5 linked regions of the Ovis aries genome follow. The protein of the gene in region 1 interacts with the protein of each later gene in a biochemical or structural test. Links are inferred from orthologs where the notes say so. Each region holds a gene or a part of one and is shown on either strand. Other genes may lie near its edges. The genes, in order: RARA, TRIM24, NCOA6, NRIP1 and TADA3.

Region 1 (3,513 bases):
GTCACTCAGCTCAGCCACGTAACCACCAGCGCTGTTTCCTCAGGTGTAAAGGGAGATAATGTCCCTCTCCCAGATTGTCGGGATTCAGATTTGTAAAACAGAGATAAGGTCCCAGGCACACAGTGGGCGCTCCACAGATGTTAGCATCCCATTCTCTCCAGCTCCCACCCAGAAAAGGGTCACGATCCTCTTCCCGTCATAACACCCGGGTACCACGAGACAGCCATGAGCGCATGCAAGACCAGGAGCAGAGTGCATTACGTCGGCGATCTTGCCTAACCTCAGCCGTCTGAGGGAGGTTCTGCTTAGATCCCTGTTTTACAGACGAGGAAACACGCTCGGAGAGGTTGTCACACTTAGTAAATGGCAAAGCCAGAACTCAAGCTACACAGCCTACTCCACAGCAACCCCTCCTACCTCATGGAATTCCCAGGGCAAGCAATAAAAAAAGGCAGGTGCGTTTCCTCTCCAGCCTAGACTAGCGATAAGAAATAGAGACCCTTCCCCCTCCAAACACACAACACAATCACAGACCCCTCCCCCTTACACATTCAGTGCCCTAAGTCACCTCCCCCTGCAGCACACAAACACATTGATACCCCTCCCGACTCTGGATCTGATTCTCCTCAAACACACTCTGACCCTCTCACCCAATACTTTTAAGCCATTGACCCCCTCCCCAGCACACACCCAACCTTGACCTCCCCACCCCTAAAACACACCCAACCCTCACCTCCCTCCCAAAACACACACAACCATCACCCTCCCCACAAGGCACACAGAATCCCAAGCCTCCACAGTAAATACCAGTCCTCAAGAGACCAAACCTCCAGGACTGGTTTGGAGGGGGAGATCTCGTACCATCCCTGGAACTTCCCACTCTGGCTTCCCGGGAGAGAGAGATAACAGCAGGACAAATACCCACCCGTCGCCACTGACCTAGAGAACAGTTCTGTCCTTCCACAGGCCACTGAGTCTCTGAAGCACACCCAGGGTCCAGCCTCCCCCCACCCCAGCTTGGCGAGAGGGATGGAAGGATGGACAACACCTTTGTTGGCGGCAAGTGGGAGGAGGGGGCCTCCTGTGCCAGGCTGCCTGCAGAATGGGTGGCAGGGGACCAGAACATATAATCACTCCTGGTGGGGATGGGGGCCACAGCTGTCCACCCTCCTGGGAAATGCCTGGCCCCCAGCACTGGCCCTCAGGTGGGGGGAGTGAGGCTGCCTCCAGGTCTGAACTTTGATTTGTCATGCTGCACTACGCAGAGCTGAAAGCCAGGGTTACCAGGTCCCACAGCCTTCCACGAGAAAGAGGGAGATGCCTGGCTCCCTCAGGGTGGATGGGGAGGTTCCTGACCTAAGGGGAAGGAAGGTCAGGGAGAAGCTCAGAAGCTGGGGGTCTGGGTAAAAAGAGGTGTTGTTGTTTACTAGGAAGAGGCAGGGAAACCCACTGGCTCACAGAGGGAGGGGGGCAGGAAGGGGCATTGCTTAACCAGAAATGTGGGCACCCCACCCTGGGGGAAGAAGGTTACCAGGGTAGGAGGTGGGGTACCCGGAAACCCTCCCCACCCACCTCGAAGAAAGAGGAAGAAGCTTGCAACATTCGAAAAGGAGAGCAAAACACTCGCTTGTCCGGCACAAGACAGGGGTCAGGCCAGCCCTCCGTGAGCCAGGCCCCAGGGGGACAGCGTCCAGGGCCCTGTTCCCAATCACCTGGGGAAGAGCAAGCTGTCCACCAGCACCAGGCTGAGCGCTCTCGGTTTCTCCCTCCCTAAAAACCCCACCCTGGCGGGAAGCAAGACACTCTAGTTCCTGGAACTGGGATGTGAACTCCAGTTCCCACACAGATCCCAGGCACCCCAGACCCACTTGCCCCTTCTCCAGCATCCCCTAACTCAGAGATTGGCCTCTCCCATCACCGAGCACAGACTGAAGACCAGGCCAGAATCATTCTGACTCCCAGGTCATGATGCTGCCCGCTGTGCCCCCTCCATGGGAGGAAACAGAAGGTGAGGTTTGAGGAGGCAGCATCCGCCTGCCCCCTTCCCCGGGGCACAGAGGGTAGGGACCGAAAGGAACACAGACTTAGAGCCCCTGCTCTCAGCGGCTGGTGGGGCTGGAGAGGGAGGGGGCCACCGAGCAAGCCAGAGGAGGCGAGCCAGGAAGCAGTGGTGGCGGTGGGCAGCCGGCCAGTGCGGGCAGTGAGGCGCCCAGCCAGGGCCTGCCCCAGGGACAAAGAGACTCCCTGGCTCCGGGGAGAGTGCGCTACCCCCAAGCTGGGAAGGGGGCACTGACCCAGCCCAGCCAGGCGCACAGGGCAGCGGTGCCAGGCAGCTTGCCAGTGGCATGGGAGAGGCGGTGGGTGCCCAGGGCAGGCTGTTCAGTCCCTGCCTGCCAGGAGAGGTGGGACACGTTTCCCAGGTCAACAGCTGACCGGCCAGGCCAGTCCGCCGTCCATGGCCCCCTTCTACGGCTTCCACCCCCTCCTGCCCCAGGCCAGGCCCCGGCTCCCTCCTCCCCCAAACCCTGGCCTGGCGCCCAGCTGGGCCCTGGGGGCCAGAGTTACTGTAAGCCGCCTGGCAGGACCGAGGCCTGGACTCTGCCAGCTGGCCTCAGTGCCGCCACCTCCCACTACCTGGCTCGGCCAGCCAGGGAAGGGTACCGAGACCCCCACCCAGCCAACAGGCGACCCCCCATGGCAGACGGCGGAGGCGGAGAGAAAACACAGGCCCTGCCAAGAGCAGGCCTGCGGCCACAGCCAGAGTCCAGGCCTGTGTCCCCTCCCGGACTCTCCCCCCATCCCCAGGCTGCCTGTGGGGCCCTCTCCTGCCCCGGCGCCCTCCCCACAAAGGGAAGCACCACCCCGCCTGGCCAGCAGTGAGGGGAGGGGGTGCTACTCCAGTCCCTTCTCTCAGAGGCACTGGATGGGGTGGGCTGGAGGTGGGGTGCTGTTCTCAGCAGACCAGCCATCCCCACCAAATGTCGAGAGGTTTGTTTACCCAACTCCAGCCTCCTTGTCCAGTGCTTGGAGCTATTTATAAGGCCCTCAACGGCAGAGCACATGAGGGGGCGCGAGGGGCCAGAGGACAGCATTGTCTCAGCTCTCCACACTCCGTGCCACCTCCCAACAAAAAACACAACCACGGCGATTAGCCTACTGGCCTTTCATCCTCAAGCCCGCTTGTCCAGCAGGTCCCCCCCGTCTGGAGGAGACCTGGCCGCTGAGGAAGAGATGTGCCCAGAGGCCCAGCCTTGGGCCTGCCGCCCTCCACAGCCCCCTCCCACAACACTCCCCGACCCCACTTACTGGCTGGGGATGGCGTGCTATAGCCGCTCACTGGAAGCTGGTGCTGGAGAGTGGTCAGAGCGCCTGGGGGGGAGAGTCCACCCAGCATGGGGGGGAAGAAGAAGGCGTAGGGGGGCACCGGGTACCCATTGAGGTGCCCTCCCCCAGGTGTTGGGCAGGAGCTGCTGTTGCTGGCCATGCCAGGCGGCCACAGTCAGAAGCACAGGC
Region 2 (4,283 bases), on another chromosome or scaffold:
GAGAAAATATTCAAGATATTAAGACTCAACATAGTATTTTTAATTTATTGAAGATAATCCTAACTTTTAGAGATATATGTGGAAGTATCGTTGGTAAGACACCTTCCTCAGTATAAAAAAAACGAAAACATTACCTTACAATTTAAAAGCTTTCCTGAACTCTGGCTTACAATACAAACAAAGATAAAACATATCTGGAGACTGCAACAGTTTGAGAACTTTATAATTGCAAACTTGCCTCAGAATTGAGGATCAGAGCTTTTATTACTCATGTTCTCATTCATTCAGATCTAAATGTCATGCCCTGGAACACAATACATCTTTAATTCTAGAATTATGCAGAATTCAGATCCTAATTGGCTTCTGGTTGTTTTAAACATTTAAAATATAAATAAAAGAAACCCTTAAATGTGTCTAAAAATTAAGAACGAAAATTTAAGTTTCACCTGTACTAACTTTCCAACAGGTGGGCCATGTCAAGAGCAAATTAGGGTGAAGGATCTGAGATTTCTACCCTACTTGCAAACTAACAAAGTATTAGCTTACCATGGAAGCTGGGAGAAGGCATGAGACTGGTGAATCGGAGACAAAGGGCAATTTATTATTACTTCCAGTAATAACATAAGCCAAAGCATCAACACTTTAGCGCACTGGTTCCCAGAGCCCCAGGTTCTCACCTGGCAAGGTGAAGAGGGTCAGTTGACACATGCTTAAGCAACGCAAGCAATGGGCTGTGTTGCAGGAGAGGAAGCCCAAGTTTAGGGAACCCTAATCTTTTATGATGGGCAATAAGCATGCCTGCCTTCTACCCCAGGAGACACTGATCTGTTACCATTGTACCATATGCATGGTTCCTCTTTGCTCTGATGGTAGACACTGTCTCTACCATCCAAGGCTTTTCCTTCTACAAACATCCTTTAAAAACAGAAACAAAGGGCAGGCAGTCAGTACCTCCCCTGGCAAGCTCTGCAGAAACAGCCAGATCCATGGAAAACTGTCTCTCAACTAGACACTGTTTCTAACATATAAATAAATCAAGAGTCTAACACGGCAACCTATTTAAAAGCATCGATTTCATGTGTTCTTTGACCTCGCTCAATTATTTAATTACCAATTTTTCTCTACCTACATCCACTAGTCCCTTTTAAAAAGGCAGTATATGTAAAACCGAATTATTTCCGGTTAGTCTTTTTTTTAAAGAGAGTTGCTCAAATATTCGCCACGTAAACGTTTAAAACCTCAATTATTCTACCACAAGCAATTTACTGTGCTTACTTCAACTTTGTGTTTCAAAACCTGTTAACATTAGCAATGGGACCTACCTGTCAAAAGTCTCATTATACGGTAACAAACACCACAAAGACAACAGTAACTTCAACATTTCCAGCTGCTGTCCACAAAACCCAAGAAAATGCTGCACTCCAAATCACTTTTTCCTATTTGTCTTTACCATTTACCGTCTAGAAACAAAATCTCCCAAAAAGAAGCACCACGAAACACCGTCTCTTAGTTCCTTTGTCCCCATTGGAGAGAACTGATGGCTCATTAAGGTAAATAACCCAAAACATGCAAGACAAAACAAAAAACAGAATCCGATATGTAACCAAAGAAAAGTCCCCACCACCTCATCTTCATCCCTCCCTTCCCCTCGCCAGCTCAAATAACGTGGGTACAGGCGAGATGATTAGTATCACCTGGACAAAGCTGCGGGGAGGCAGAGGGTAGCGGTTAACTAGATGCAGCCGGCAAAGGGCTGGAGATAGACAACAGCGCACTCCAACAGAGGTTTTCAGAAGTACGGGTTGCACGGGCCACGCAGCCCGGAGGAGGAGGCTGGGGGGTGGGGAGGGGGTGGGGAGGGGGTGGGGGGGGGGGGGGGGGGGGGGGGGGGGGGGGGGGGGGGGGGGGGGGGGGGGGGGGGGGGGGGGGTGGGAGCGGCAGCTCGGCCAAGTCCACAGCGCCGGGGGAAGTTGCTCGCGGGGCGCGCGGACGCCGCAGAGCGCGCGAGCCCTGCATGTCACCGCAGCCAGCACAGACCCTCCTCGCCCCTCCCCCGCCGAGCACCCCGGGCGGCGGCGACGTGACAGCGGGTCGCCGCGCCGCCCCGGGGCGCCGGCCTCCTCACCCCACCCCACCCTCCCGCCACTCACCTTGGGTAGCGAACGGCGAGGAGCCGCTGACCGGCGAGCCGGGGGCGGGGACGGGCGGCGGGGTTTCGGCGGAGCCCAGCATGGGCGCGGGCAGCATGAGGTAGCGCTGGGGCGCGGGCAGGCAGCGCTGGCAGAAGGAGTGCAGGCAAGGCAGCAGCTTGGGCGCCCGGCTCTGGATGTTCTGGTGGCACACGGCGCAAGTGTCCAACAGGTTGACCCGGGCCGCCTCGCCTCCGCGCTCCGAGTCAGGGCCCTGGCGACTCTCGGCCTCGTTCTCCCCGCTCGGCGCCGCCGAGGGCCCCCCGGCGGCCGCCGCCGAAGCGGCCGCGGCCGCCGTCGCCGCCTTCTCCACAGCCACCTCCATTGTCCTGCCCCCGCCGCCGCCGCCGCCGCCGCCGGGGAAGGGGGAGCGCGTTCTCTGCCCGCCGCCGCCCGCGACAGACCTCCTTCTCCTCCTCCTCCTAGGCCGCTCCGGTGACCCGCAGGAGAGGGAGGGACGGAGGCTCGGGCCGAGGAAGCCTCCTCAGGCCCCGGGGATCCGCCTCCCGGGTGGCGCGGCCGGAAGAAGAGGATCTGTCAGCGGGGACTGCTCTTCGCATCGGGGAGGCTGCGCCCGGTTCGCTTCGCCAACCGCCGCGGCGCTCGTCAAACCCGCCGAGCCCGCCCTCGCCTCCCTGCCTTTCTCTGGGGCCCGCGAGCCCCACCTCAGGCCACGCCCCCGCCGCCGCCCTCCCTCTCCCAGCAACCGAAGCGAAGGCAGGGAGAGAGCCCTCCTATCGAGTCGCGTCTGGTCGGCGGGCGGGGCCTGCCGAAGCCCGCGAGGCTCAGACAGCCGCGGCTGGAGGCTGGGAGGTGGGAGGGCGCTTGCTCAGCCCCGCCCCTCGAGCTCCGGGAACCACGGCCTCTGATTGGTCCTTTGTGTGTGTTTCGCTCCCGTAGAAAGATTAAGCGTTTATTTGTTAACGATCGACCACATAATTCGGTCCAACTGTGCTAGCTCCTCCTATGGGGAGGGGCTTCACAGTGTTTATCCAAAGCTGTTAATTAACTGCTTCGAAAAACTCTCTATTTACTACTGCGGACCGAGGTCCTGTAGGAGGAGTAAATATGGAGGGGAGGGTCTCAGAATAACGAAGTCGAGTGAGGGAGCAAAGGGAAGAATTTTTCAAAAAGGGAAAATGTTGTGGAAGTAGCATGGATTTTGCCACCTGGATTTACTAATCTCTGTGATAAGAGGGGAGGTTCTTATGAAAGTCCGAAAATTTTAAAGGTTTTCCTCGTGAAAAAGGTGAAATTAATTTTTAAATAAAAGTGATTTGCTTTTTAGGTGAATAAAACTGATTTGTTCTTCAAGGGATTAACGAAGACTGAGTGTTTTATTGCATAAATATGGCATCATTACAAGAAATGGAAATAAATGTCAATACTGATATCCAAATAATTCTAAAATATTCTTTTTCATTTCTCCAAACCCTCACCACCCCTCCGCAAACAAACTTTGATCAGAAGTTACAATATTTTCACTTTAAAAATGGCCAAGCTTTACAAAAGTATAGAAATAGGGTAGGGGAAACGAGCCTCTGTACACATATGATTGTGGAAGTGCCATTTTAAAGAATACATGAAGTGATGCTGCATCTTTGCAGAGAGTAGGATGGGGTCAGAATAGGCTTTGTTAAAATGGAAATGATCCTGTTGTGTTAGAGAAATAGTAAGTAGCCAAGATGGTGGTAGTCAGGCTCTCTTGCCCTACTTTGTGTGAAAAACAACTTTGCATGGTTATGTAACAACTGAGATAATCTATAACAATGCACACGTGCATTGTGATGCAATAGCTTGTCAAATTGCCACCTTTATTTCTGTATACCAATATTAAGCCCACCTGAAACATCCCTTGCTGCTGCGTCAGCCGCTGCAAATAAAGCATGTCTGCAGTTCCTATGGCTTCTCGCATTTTCTTCCAGCTTTGTTGCTCGCACCTTGCCTACCCTGGATTCAGTGATCAGCGAAACAGTTGGCATAGTGGGCAGGATACCTAGCAGGAAGGGAAGCCTGAGGCTCCAATAGATGGAGGAAGCCAGTGGCCACGGCGTATCATGTGGTACTTGGTCGGCGTGGTCCTCTCGGTGTGAG
Region 3 (3,513 bases), on another chromosome or scaffold:
GGTTGACAGAGGAGCCTGGACTATTGGTCAAAAGGGGAGAAACCACTGTGGTTGTCTGTGAAGAGGGCAGAGTGCTTTGATCTGCTGAGGTGCTCACCTGAGGGCTAGTCTCATCTGGATTCAGTTCTTTTACTTGCTGGACAGGGGGGTGAGGAGGAACAACTGGAGAAGTTGTACAAGGCGGGGAAGGAAGCTGAACAGGGGTGGCTCTTGAGTTAAGGACCAAGGGTCGACCTGTCTGTATGTTTGGAGCAGGACTACTGGTGGGGGCATTAGGCAGCACAGGAGCAGAAGAAAATTTTATATTCTGAGGTATGTGTAAAGGGCCAACGACTGCAACAGAGGGAGGCATCAAGCCAGAGTTGGTTGTCAGCGGGGCTGCAGGAATTGTGCTTGGCTGTGATCCTTTCATAACCTGAATTATTGAGGATGAATTGATAAAGACAGGCGTAATGAACTGAGGCCGGGCATTTGACTGAGCAGCTGACTGTCCCTCAGAAACCATAACCTTGTTACCCACATTGGGCATTGTGACAACTGTTGACATTAATGCAGACTGCAGGTGAGTTGGCAGAGCTGCTGATGTGTTCGCTGAAGTTGTAATGGGATTGGAAGTCACGAAAACAGTTATCTGATTTGGGGGCAAAGGAGTGGAAATGGAGGAAGAGCTGACAGGTCTTGACATTACTTGAGGGATGCTTGGGGTGACATTAGAACTGACCTCACTCAATTCTGGATGCACAAGGGTTGAACACGGCTCGTTACTGTGAGGTAAATTTAGGGAACTGGAGGGTTCTTTAGAAGACGGATCCTGCAGGGAGGGAATGACAGATGCTTTTTTTGGGTCCTCTCCAGACACTCCTGGAGGTGTTACTTCCAGATCTGTAAGCCCGGGGGGTTTAATAGTCACGTTAGGAGCTCCAGAGTTGTCAAGAAGTTGACTTAGCGATGTTGGTGCTTCCCTCATAGCAGGAGACACCAAATTTTTGTTCTCTTCGACATTGGGAGGTTTGTTAGGATCCAAAGGCTGCCCATCCTTTTTGCATTGATCTTCAGGGACAACCATTTTCACTTCTTGGGGAGGGACTGCTTTTAGCTCAATGTTTATCTGCTCCTTCCTAACCTGGGAATTCTGGCAATCACTGTCCTGTGGCATATTCAAGCTCTCCTTGTTATCCTCCAGAACACCCCCTATCGTGGCCACAGGCATGGTAGGATTCTGAGGATTCAGCCCACTGTTGTTAGGGAAGCTCCCAGGTACAGGCGGATTGGCCAAAGGAGTAGGACTAACCAATACATTTCTTGGCAGCTCTACATTTTGCAACAACGTTGCATTTGTTTGAGAGGCAAGTGTAAGTTTAGGGGCTTTCGAATTCTGTCTCCCAGGACTTGGGGTGGTTTTCCTACTTGACCCAGGACTAGACCTGCGGCTGTTGCTTGGACTTGCCCGTTTTGGTGCTCCAGAATTAGACTGCTTTCCAGAATTCACCACCACAGAATCTAATTTGTGAGTCTGTGGGGCAGCAAAATTGGAAGGATTATTCATGGTAAGGTTTGAAGGTGCTTGCCCGATGGCCTTCAAAGTTGTCGGATTTAGGCCCTGTTGATCAAAGCCCCTGTTTAAATTTGGCCTGGGAGGTAAAGGAATATTAATCTGTGGGGGGAAGAGTCCTGCTATGGAGGCATTGAGTCTTTCCGGTGATAGACTGATTTCTGAAGGTTCCGTGCTAGGAGGGCGGTTGTTGGGTGTCTGGGGATAATAGGGTCTGGGGCTGGCTCTGTTGGGTGTTTTAGGCCTAGATGTTTGGGTGGGAGCAGCCACATTTGGAAAGTGGTGGCCATGAGAGCTGGGCAGGGAATTTACAGGAGGTTGCTGGGGAGTTGCACCTTGAGTTGCTGAAAGCGGTGATGGTCCAGGTTTTGGCCCTGTCATCATTAACTGATTCTGGGAGACCACTAAATGTGGAGGCATATTATTTGGGCCTCCTGAGACGGACGGTCCTTCACTGCCACTTGCTTCTGGGAGCGAGGACATCTCCCCCAGTGGTGAGCTGGCAGGGTTCTGGGGGTTCTCCTGGTACATCATTTTCCTTGAAGTGCTTCCCAGAGGAGTAGTCACAGGCATTGGCATTCTCTGCTTGTCAGGTGACGGGGGCACTGAGGCAGGGCCTTGCAGGCTGACCATGACAGGCACGCCGCCGCTCGGCTGCGCGGGCACTCTCTGGGCGTCCGGGGTCAGCGGGCCCCTGGGGGGGTGGGCACTCTGGGGGACCGGAAGCCTGGCGGGCTTGGGGTCCTGCTGCAGCATGAGCATCATCATCATCTGCTGCTGCTGCTGCTGCTGCTGCTGCTGCTGAGACTGCGGCTGGCTGGGAGGTGGCTGCGGCTGCTGCGGTGGCGGCTGTGCTGGGGGTGCCACATGCTGCACGAGCTGAGGAGGCAGCTGCTGAAGTGGCCTCTGTTCAACTGGTTGAGAAGGATAACCTAAAACGAGCCCCCAAAATCAGGGAAGTTAGACTTTCAGCAAGAAAAGCTTTGTGACCTTTAGGGTATGGCCAAGCAATCCTCATCTAGGTGGCACAAATAGCTCAGGCATGCCCGTTTCCAGGGGGGTAAGGGGCGGCCCTTCCTTCTCTGGCATAAGCAAAGAGGCACGCTGCTTCAGGAAGCAAAAAGCAAAGCATCGAGAACCTGGAGCTCCTCAGTCTTCAGGGTTTGCATGAGGCATCACTGTACTAAGACTCTAACAGGCACTGCGCTATGCACTGAAACTGGCCAAGTCTATGCCAGCCTCACATTCAGATGAAATGAGGACAACTCCATCAACAGCACACGGATGACCACCCAGTACTGGGCTCTCATGCAGGCATAATGAACATTTCACTGGATTTGTGAATGAAGCATTTAAGATTCACTTTTTTTCTTTTAGCACAGATTAATTTTTTTAAAGACTTGGTTTTGTTGAAAATACCAGCATTGAAGATAGCCTTTTTATTCCTTCAACAGAAGTAAAATATAAAGTTCTAGGGTTCAATTCCTTAAGAAAGAAGGATTTAAAATCACTTCAATCCATTGACTTCACACACCATGCTGCACCCTCCAGGCTCGCTTCTTTGGGAAACCCAGTGAATTAAACTGTCTCTCCAACGTAAGTCAGTTTAATAAATAGTAGGAGCTAAATAGAAGCTGATACACACACTGAAAATAAAATGAGGGCACTGAAGTTCTTTTTACAAATGCTAATTTCCATTTACTTTTTTACATGTCAAACTGTATTTGGAGAAATACTGTCTTTGAATCCATAAGTGGAGAATAAGTGAGCCAAGAAGCATAGCCCTCAGGAATAAAAAATAACTTTGGGAAAAGAAGTCTGAGGACAATGCCTTATAGATTCCTAGAAGGCGACATCTCAAATGATTCCTTCTTTTGTGAAGATTTTATTTGCATTTTAGAACCAAAACCTTACATAATCAGCAGAAAGGACCAAGAATAAAGGTGGTTCAATGGGAAAAA
Region 4 (4,282 bases), on another chromosome or scaffold:
CGCTGGGCAAAACCAGAGCAACTTACTTCAAAGCTGAAAACATTTCAACATACTCCAGGCAGCAACCCACACTTTGGTGCCAGGCAGAGGAAGCACCATTTGTTTAAAAAGTCCACTTATCTCACTGTGTCTTCAACAACAAAGGTGGCAAACTAGTGATTAAGCATTGAAGAATCACATCGGGAAGATGCCACCCACTTGCTAAAGTCATGATTCTCTAATAAGCAGGTTCAATGCAATTCATAACTTTAAAGAATGAATTACCAGAGCCCTCTGCTTCACAAATCACTCCCTCACCAAACGTAAAAAACAACCATCATCTGTAACTCCACAACCATTTTTCACTTTCATCCTATGGACTCTGTTCCTCTAAGAACAGTACCCCCTCCCCAACCCCTCCCCCGCCCCGCACAATTTCACATTTAATCATTTATATTACCGGAGACAAACTCCAACTCAGTTCCACCAACTGAGTGAAAAGTCCCTGTGGCTAAGAACGTATTACTTCTTTTTCAACATAAAAACGCCTTATTGAAATTTTTTTTTTAAACACAAAAGTACTTCTGTTGTCCGTCTACTATCTTCAAAACTCAATTCAATAACGAGATAGAAGGTAAAAACTCCTATAATACTTCAGAGATCAACATGTGTCACAGACTCGCAGACTGTTCGCCTCTAAGACATAGTTGATTCCTTTGTTCCTCCAGACGGAACAGCAACTCTTGATTAAAATTTGGAAAACTACTTTGGAAGGGTTGTGACGGTTTGCAGAATATTTCCCGGGAAACCCTTCATAAGACAATATCCGCTAGTAGTAGAAGAGGACACATAGATGTAGGAGAGAAAAACGAAGCCTCCCAGGACCTGCACGGGGTTCACTCTAGAGGTGAGCCCGGTTTTCTGGCTCCGGAGAAAAGTGATGGTTGAGGCCTCGGGTCCCAGGGGCCTCGCCCTCGGGAGGGGAAGGACACGTACCAACGGGCCTGGCTGGACCCGAGGGTCGGCTAGGGGCCGGGAGCGCGGTCCCCTTGCCTACCCACTTTCCCCAGTCCGGGATCCGGCCAGCTCAGAGCAGGGAGGCACCCGGGCGAGAGGCGGGGGGAGCTGCGCCCGGCGCCGCCCAGGACGCCCGGGGCAGCAGGACTGAGAACGGCGCGACGAGAAGCGCCCGGGGCTCCGGGCCGAGGAGGACAGCCGAGCGGGGGCGCGACCCCGGCCCGGGTCCGGGGCAACACGGCGGCCGCCCTCCCGTCCCCGGCCCAGGACGGCCAAGAACGCGCCGGTGAGCCCCCGGGCCAACTCCACAACTTGCCGGCCCCGCTGCCCGGGCCCCCCGAGTTCCCGGGCAGGTTCGGAGCCGGCAGGAGAGGCGGGATTTGCCCGGAAGCCGTCCCCCTCCGCCGAGCTCACCCCGCCGTCCGCGTCCGCTCCCGCCGCCCCGCAGCGCGGGCCCCCCGCCGCCCCGACGCCCCCCGAGGCCCTGCCCGCCAACGCCAAGCCAACGCCGCCGCGGGCCGCGCTCCCGGCCATTTCCGGCGGCGGCGGCCGCTCGTCCGAGCCCCCCGGCCGCGGCCGCCACTCACCCGAGGCCGCCGCAGCTCCGAGCGCCGGGGCTCCGGCCAGCTCACTCCGCGAAGGCGCCCCGCCGCCCCGTCCTCCCTCGGCGCCCCGGCGAGCTCTTCCCTGCGATCGGCAGCGCTGCCGGGCGCAGCGGCCGCCGCGAGGCCACGGGCGGGCGCGCGGGCGAGCGCGGGGCCGGGTCGTCCCTCCGCCTCGGCCGCCGCCGCCGCGCCGCCTCCTCCTCCGCCGCCGCCGCCGCCTCCCGAGTTCGGGGCTCTGCTGCAATGTCTGCGAGGCTGACTTTGAGCGCCTCGCTCGCCGCCTGCCTGCCCGCCCGCCCGCCCGCAGCCGCGCTCCTCCCTCCGCCGCCGAGGCGGCCGCGGCCCAGTCCCTCCCCTCGCCGCTCCACGCCATTCAGCTCTTCAGCCAAGTTTCTTAACCCTTTTTTCCCCCTCTCTTCCATTGTCACCGGGGCGGCAGGCACGCGCTCGGGTCCCGGAGGCTCGCGGGAACTGCGGGGCCCCCTCGGTTGGCTGGTTTTCCTCCTCGCCCGCCCTCCGGCCGGCCGGGCGGGGGCTGCGGGCGCCCCGAGGCAGCTGGAAGAGCGCGGCGGCCGGGAGAGGTGGGTGCTCCAGGCGCCCCGAGCCCTTCCCCGCGGCTCCCAGCTCTGTCCAGCAGCCCCCACCGCCGCCGAAGGCGCCGGGACAGCTCCTCCTGGGGCTCCCGGGGGGGTGGGGACCACTCTCGTGACCCAGGCCAAAAGCCCGCGAAGGGGGCTCAGCCTGGGGGTCGGGACGCCCCGGGTCCCTTCCTGGGTGCCGGCATCTTAGGCTTCCTTCTCCTCCCACTTCACCCCACGACCCGTGTCTCCTGGGCTCCCTCTCGCCCACCCCCCCCAACTTCCACCACCTTGTAATCTGTGTGTCTTGCTTTAGTCTGGCCGGGGGTGGGGGGGGCTAACTGCGGGTCCCTCTGATCCCGCGCCCTGCACGTAGAAGGCACCCAGGGATAATCGGCGGGTGAGTCCGAGAAGAAAACTGGGAAGGAGACCTGAGGAGCGCCGGGTTCAGCTCCTCGGACGGGAGCAGGGTTTATCTTCTGCTGCTTTGTCACTGCGAAGTCTCCAGCGGAGCCGTTCCTCGAATCGACACCGTCCTCGGACCGAACCTGACCCTCCAAGACAAGGCAGAAGGCACCCAGCTGCCACTTCTCGGGCAGCTCTCCGCCGGTTCAGGCTCCGAGTAAGAAATAACAATTACATCACGAGGCCGGGGCGGCAGCCCCGGAGAGCCTCCTGGTTTCCTGCAGCCTGATCTCCCTGAACCCGCCTCTAAATTGGGGGGGATACGGATTGGTGAAGAGAGAAAGTGGAGGGAGGAGAGAGTCATCCGAAACCATCATTTCCCCCTTCTCCGTGTATTTGCTGTTTTAAAATCTTATCCTCAAGGCTCTCCCCAAACATCAAGCTAGAACTATTAACACCCCCGCAACACCTCCCCAGATGTCAGGTTTCTTTTTGACTCTAGCATCTAGCATTTAGTAACTCGCCATGAAAAAGAAAAAGAAAAAAAAAAAAATTGCCAGGGGAAATGAGGACCGTTGCAGAAATTGTTTTTGCTTGCTGCAAAAACGCTGAAGTACAGCTTAGGCTCACTGTAAACTCCGAAATGGCATGCCTGTGTTTAAACACTTATTACACAAAACAAGTGAGTGGATAAGACACTCCATTCCTATGTGTAGGTTTTCAGATCCTTAAGGATTCGACAGCATTTTAAAATAAAGTTGCTAGTGCACTTAAAAAAAAAACACAAAACTATCCAAGTCATAGAACAGTATTCTATGCCTGTTATGTAATGGTTGTGTTGTGCGTGTAAAATGTCATTTAACCTTTAAAAATATGAATGAGGATTCGGGAACACCTTCACAGTCTTAAAAGGGAAAGCGATATTTCAGAAGAATGCTTAATAATACAGCACCTAGCACAGTGCTGGGCACATGGCAGGAAGATTTTTCTTCATGGTGATAGTGCATTTTAGAACAATTATTTTACATCACCCTAGTGATTTCAACTGTGCGATCTGTTGCCATCTTATATATTTAAACCTCATATGAGAGCTTATTATTTGTATCTACCACCATTTGAAATCTGTTCAAGGCAGCTTAGTAAAGTCCACTGTTCTGCATGACAACATTTATCCAGGATTGATTCAGAGCCAACTGTTTGAATTAAGTGATAGGCAGCATTATTGGAGTGTGACCCTTTAAGGAATCAAACTAATTTTCTTTAAAACTGTTGTACAAAGATTTTCTGAAAACGTATTATAAATGTTTCTATTTTCTTAAGCCATTTTTTGGCTTTTTCTTGAAAATTCAGAGTTAATTTTGATAGTAGGTTATAATGAATTTAAGGACTACATCAATTTCCTGTTCTCTATCAAGCTCCTTCCTAGGAGTCAGGGATGCTCCCAGGATGAATAGAAGCCATCAGTCCTCTCCCTGAAGGACTCCAGGATACTATGATCCAGTGATCATCTCTGTCTTTCATAGTTGCTCTCTCTCCCCCTTCCCTAACTAACAATCTTTTCTCTCTTTTGCCAGGGTTCCTGTCTCTAACATTATCCTCCTCTTCTGATTGGCAACTGCTAGTCTGGTGCAGACTGAGATTCCAGATAGCCTCATTTGTCACCATTCAGTCTAAAGTAAAACAAAATAGTGCCATGTA
Region 5 (3,513 bases), on another chromosome or scaffold:
ACGACCCAATTGATGTGCCACGTATCCCCAAGAATGACGCCCCCAACAGGTTCTGGGCCCGGGAACATAGATGGGCCTTGGGATTTGGGCACTGGAGGCTGTGGAGAGGCCTGGGGCTGAGGCTGGTGGGGCAGGGGGCAGGGGGCACCCCCTCAGGCTCTGCTTCTCCCTGCAGATTCTGGGCTTCGGTGGAGCCATACTGTGCTGATATCACCAGTGAGGAAGTGCGCACACTAGAGGAGCTACTGAAACCCCCAGAAGATGAGGCTGAACATTACAAGGTGAAGACCCCAGGCATGATGAGACAAGATGGAAACATCTTGGACATGATGGAGAACAAGAGGGCTCAGAGATGCCTCACAATTAACAGAGCTATATATCATCTTCCTTTTTCTCTCTCCCCAGCCTCCTGACAGTTCCATTAACTCACTTAGACGCCCAGGTTCTAGCTTTCAGCTTCCTCCCTTCTACCCTGCCACATCCTAAGGCATCTTCTTCAGTGCAGTCCTCCCTTTGTCTCTGTCATCCCCTTTGCTTTGGCTCAAAAATTCATCAGCTTTTCCCTTTACAGCCTCTTAACACTTGCTTGCCTCTAGAGGGATTCTCTTCTCTGCTTTTTTAATTGGATGCACCAGGTAGCATGTGGGATCTTAGTTCCCTGACCAGGGATCAATCCTGCACCCCTTGCAGTAGAAGTGAGCAGTCTTCACCACTGAACCGCCATGGAAGTTCCTCTCTCTCTTTTTTTTGTAATGTATAGAAGTTTTTTTATTTTTAGTTTTTATGATGAAAATAAAAGAGGTTCCGTTAAAGAAAATGTACAAAATACAGAAAAATGTTGGAGGGGAATTCTCCCATAGGTTCGCTATCATGATCAGAGGTGCTTATAACAGCCTTGTGTGGCTCCCATTGCCCACAGACTCAGGTCCAAGCTTCAGTCCTTGGTAGCACAGTGTCCTTGGCCACACCACCTCTTTACTGCTATTATTTGCCAGCCCCACCAAGCACCTTACCCTCACTCCAAGCTCACACAAGGTCCTTTCTGGTCTCTGGGCCTCTGTACATGCCAATCTCCCCTTGGCAAACTAACACCCTTCGAGTCCCTTACTGCACGTTACCTGCACCAAAATGGTTTTGCAGGTTTTCCAGCAGAAGGTTGGTCTGTCTGTTGCACTGCCACAACACCTTAACCTACTCTGTCACTCCACTTGTCTGAGTTTTTAAAAAACTTATTTGAAAAGGTAATCTATATGGGCAGTCACAAGTTCAAGCAGTGCATAAGCTATTTCTCTCATTTCTGACCTGAAGGCCTGTAGTTCTTTCGAGAGATAATAGCTCTCAACTGATATTGTCTGTGTACACACACCATTCTGCACGTTACATCATGGAAATTTTCCTGTATTGCCTTCTGTGTGTTTTAGTTGTTTATGTACCTGGCTTCTCTACTAAACTGTGAGTGTAGAGATTTTTCTCTCCTGTATCTCTTCTCACCTGAGCCTCAGGCCTCAACCCTGGACTAGATACTTGGGAGACATAAATGAAGGAAGGAGGGTGAGCGAAGAGCCTGTTGGCACTTCCAAGTGCACAAAGAGACCCTGCCACACCCCAGGCATTGCTGGCTGTATTTATCTCTTTGGGGCTGGGTGGGATGTCTCCCACAGATCCCGCCCCTAGGGAAGCACTACTCCCAGCGCTGGGCACAGGAGGACCTGCTGGAGGAGCAGAAGGACGGGGCCCGGGCAGCAGCTGTGGCTGACAAGAAGAAAGGCCTCTTGGGGCCCCTGACCGAACTGGACACTAAAGGTAAGTCCCTCACCTCCCTGCCCACCCCAGGCTAGGACTTGAGTTCCCAGAACTTCAGCCCACGAGTCTACCATGTGTCTGCCCAATTCAGATGTGGATGCCCTGCTGAAGAAGTCTGAGGCCCAGCATGAGCAGCCAGAAGACGGGTGTCCCTTTGGTGCCCTGACACAGCGTCTGCTGCAGGCCTTGGTGGAGGTGAGTACCCCCAATGCAAAACAGAAACCACTATCATTCTGTTTCAATGTTTGTTTATTGAAGTATATATTTAGAAAGGTACATAGGTCATAAATGTACAGCTTGATCGATTTTCACAAATGAGCAGCCTTGTACAACTAGTCCCAAGATCACAAAATAAAACATCATCAGTATCCTTGAAGGCCCTCTCATGCCCCTCCCAGTGTTTAACCTCCCCCACCTCCAGGGTAGCCACTATTCCACAGTTACTTTTGTGGAGCATTAGTGAAAGGCCCTGTGCAAAGGGCTTTCTACACATCCTCTTGTTAAAGGCAGATAGTGGTTAACCCCACATTACACCAAACAAGGTTGAGGCTCAAAAAAGGGAACTGTTTGCTTGACATCACACAGCTAACAAGCGGAAGCAGGCTTCAAACACCAGGTTCAGGTGCCCTTTCTTTATGCCCACTGGCTATCCCAAGCCATGTTTCTTCACCTATGAGCCTCAGTTTTCCCTCTGGCTCAAACACAATAGCCTCTTTCTCTCCCATGTAGCATTCTGGGCACATGTTCCAGATCAGTGGAGGCTGGGGGAGATCTCTGTTCCACACCATCAGACAGGGACCCCAGGTTTGCTGGCTTTTTAATTGTTTAAAAAAATGTATATATGTATTTTTGGCTGTGCTGGGTCTTCGTTACTGCTTAGGTTTTTCTCTAGTTGTGGCGATCAGGGGCTACTCTCTAGTTGGGGTGCTTGGGCTTGTAATTGCAGTGGCTTCTTTTGTTGTGGAGCAGGGGCTCTGGGGCGCACAGGCTCAGTAGTTGCAGCTCCCGGGCTCTAGAGCATAGGCTCAGTAGTTGTGGTGCCCAGGCTTAGTTGCTCTGCGGCATGTGGGATCTTCCTGGTTCAGGAATCAAACCTGTGTCTCCTGCATTCCACTGAGCCACCAGGGAAGCCCACTTTGCTGTTGTAAACATGCGCTCTGCACAGGATCACTCCAAATGTGACTGGCACTCCAGCCCACAGAAAAAGAGCAAGGAGGAGTGTGTGAAGATCCCGCTGGCTATGGCTCTTATCTCTTCTAATCACTTTCCATTGGAGAGTATTTGTCACATGACCACCCCGACTACAGGGGAGGCTGGGAAGTGGGGTTCATCTGGGCAGCCATTAGCCCAGCTCCTGTGGAGGAAAGGCGAGAATGGCTTTCGGACAGCCAGCAACCTCTGCTATGGTACAGCCCCTGTGCTCAGTACCGTGTGCCTAGCACAGCCCCTGGTGCACTGCAAATGCTTAACGAGCCCTAGTTCTTCTCATTACTGCTATTGAATGTTACCATCACTCTTCTGTGCTCCCTTTTGTATCAGTACAAAAACAAGAATTTATAAAATGATCAAAGCTTTTTGGAGCCAGTTTGGGAAAACTTCCCAGAGTGGGTGGAATGCGAAGAAGAAAAGATTTCTGGTATGTGAAGACTGTCCATGTAGGTCAGAGGGAAGCAGGAAATGGTAATACTACATCTCTTTCTTCCTCTGACC

What was found.
Region 2: the proteins of RARA (region 1) and TRIM24 form a complex in vitro, tested with the Homo sapiens proteins (3 studies listed by BioGRID). The link is inferred for Ovis aries from reciprocal best matches to the Homo sapiens genes RARA and TRIM24.
Region 3: the proteins of RARA (region 1) and NCOA6 form a complex in vitro, tested with the Homo sapiens proteins (3 studies listed by BioGRID). The link is inferred for Ovis aries from reciprocal best matches to the Homo sapiens genes RARA and NCOA6.
Region 4: the proteins of RARA (region 1) and NRIP1 form a complex in vitro, tested with the Homo sapiens proteins (4 studies listed by BioGRID). The link is inferred for Ovis aries from reciprocal best matches to the Homo sapiens genes RARA and NRIP1.
Region 5: the proteins of RARA (region 1) and TADA3 form a complex in vitro, tested with the Homo sapiens proteins (2 studies listed by BioGRID). The link is inferred for Ovis aries from reciprocal best matches to the Homo sapiens genes RARA and TADA3.

What each region holds. Positions count from the first base shown.
Region 1 is NC_056064.1:40,323,671-40,327,183, reverse strand, and holds part of RARA (retinoic acid receptor alpha), read right to left. Parts: 5' UTR 3,485-3,513; coding exon 3,307-3,484; intron 1-3,306. UniProt on the Homo sapiens protein: Receptor for retinoic acid. Retinoic acid receptors bind as heterodimers to their target response elements in response to their ligands, all-trans or 9-cis retinoic acid, and regulate gene expression in various biological processes.
Region 2 is NC_056057.1:103,605,844-103,610,126, reverse strand, and holds the start of TRIM24 (transcription intermediary factor 1-alpha), read right to left. Parts: upstream 2,804-4,283; 5' UTR 2,515-2,803; coding exon 2,151-2,514; intron 1-2,150. UniProt on the Homo sapiens protein: Transcriptional coactivator that interacts with numerous nuclear receptors and coactivators and modulates the transcription of target genes.
Region 3 is NC_056066.1:64,069,405-64,072,917, forward strand, and holds part of NCOA6 (nuclear receptor coactivator 6), read right to left. Parts: intron 2,485-3,513; coding exon 1-2,484. UniProt on the Homo sapiens protein: Nuclear receptor coactivator that directly binds nuclear receptors and stimulates the transcriptional activities in a hormone-dependent fashion. Coactivates expression in an agonist- and AF2-dependent manner.
Region 4 is NC_056054.1:142,920,687-142,924,968, reverse strand, and holds the start of NRIP1 (nuclear receptor-interacting protein 1), read right to left. Parts: upstream 2,811-4,282; 5' UTR 2,470-2,810; exon of another isoform or gene 2,128-2,469; intron 1,851-2,127; exon of another isoform or gene 1,584-1,850; intron 1-1,583. UniProt on the Homo sapiens protein: Modulates transcriptional activation by steroid receptors such as NR3C1, NR3C2 and ESR1. Also modulates transcriptional repression by nuclear hormone receptors.
Region 5 is NC_056072.1:16,898,770-16,902,282, forward strand, and holds part of TADA3 (transcriptional adapter 3), read left to right. Parts: coding exon 1-49; intron 50-175; coding exon 176-281; intron 282-1,661; coding exon 1,662-1,803; intron 1,804-1,894; coding exon 1,895-1,998; intron 1,999-2,034; exon of another isoform or gene 2,035-2,532; coding exon 2,533-2,607; exon of another isoform or gene 2,608-3,513. UniProt on the Homo sapiens protein: Functions as a component of the PCAF complex. The PCAF complex is capable of efficiently acetylating histones in a nucleosomal context. The PCAF complex could be considered as the human version of the yeast SAGA complex.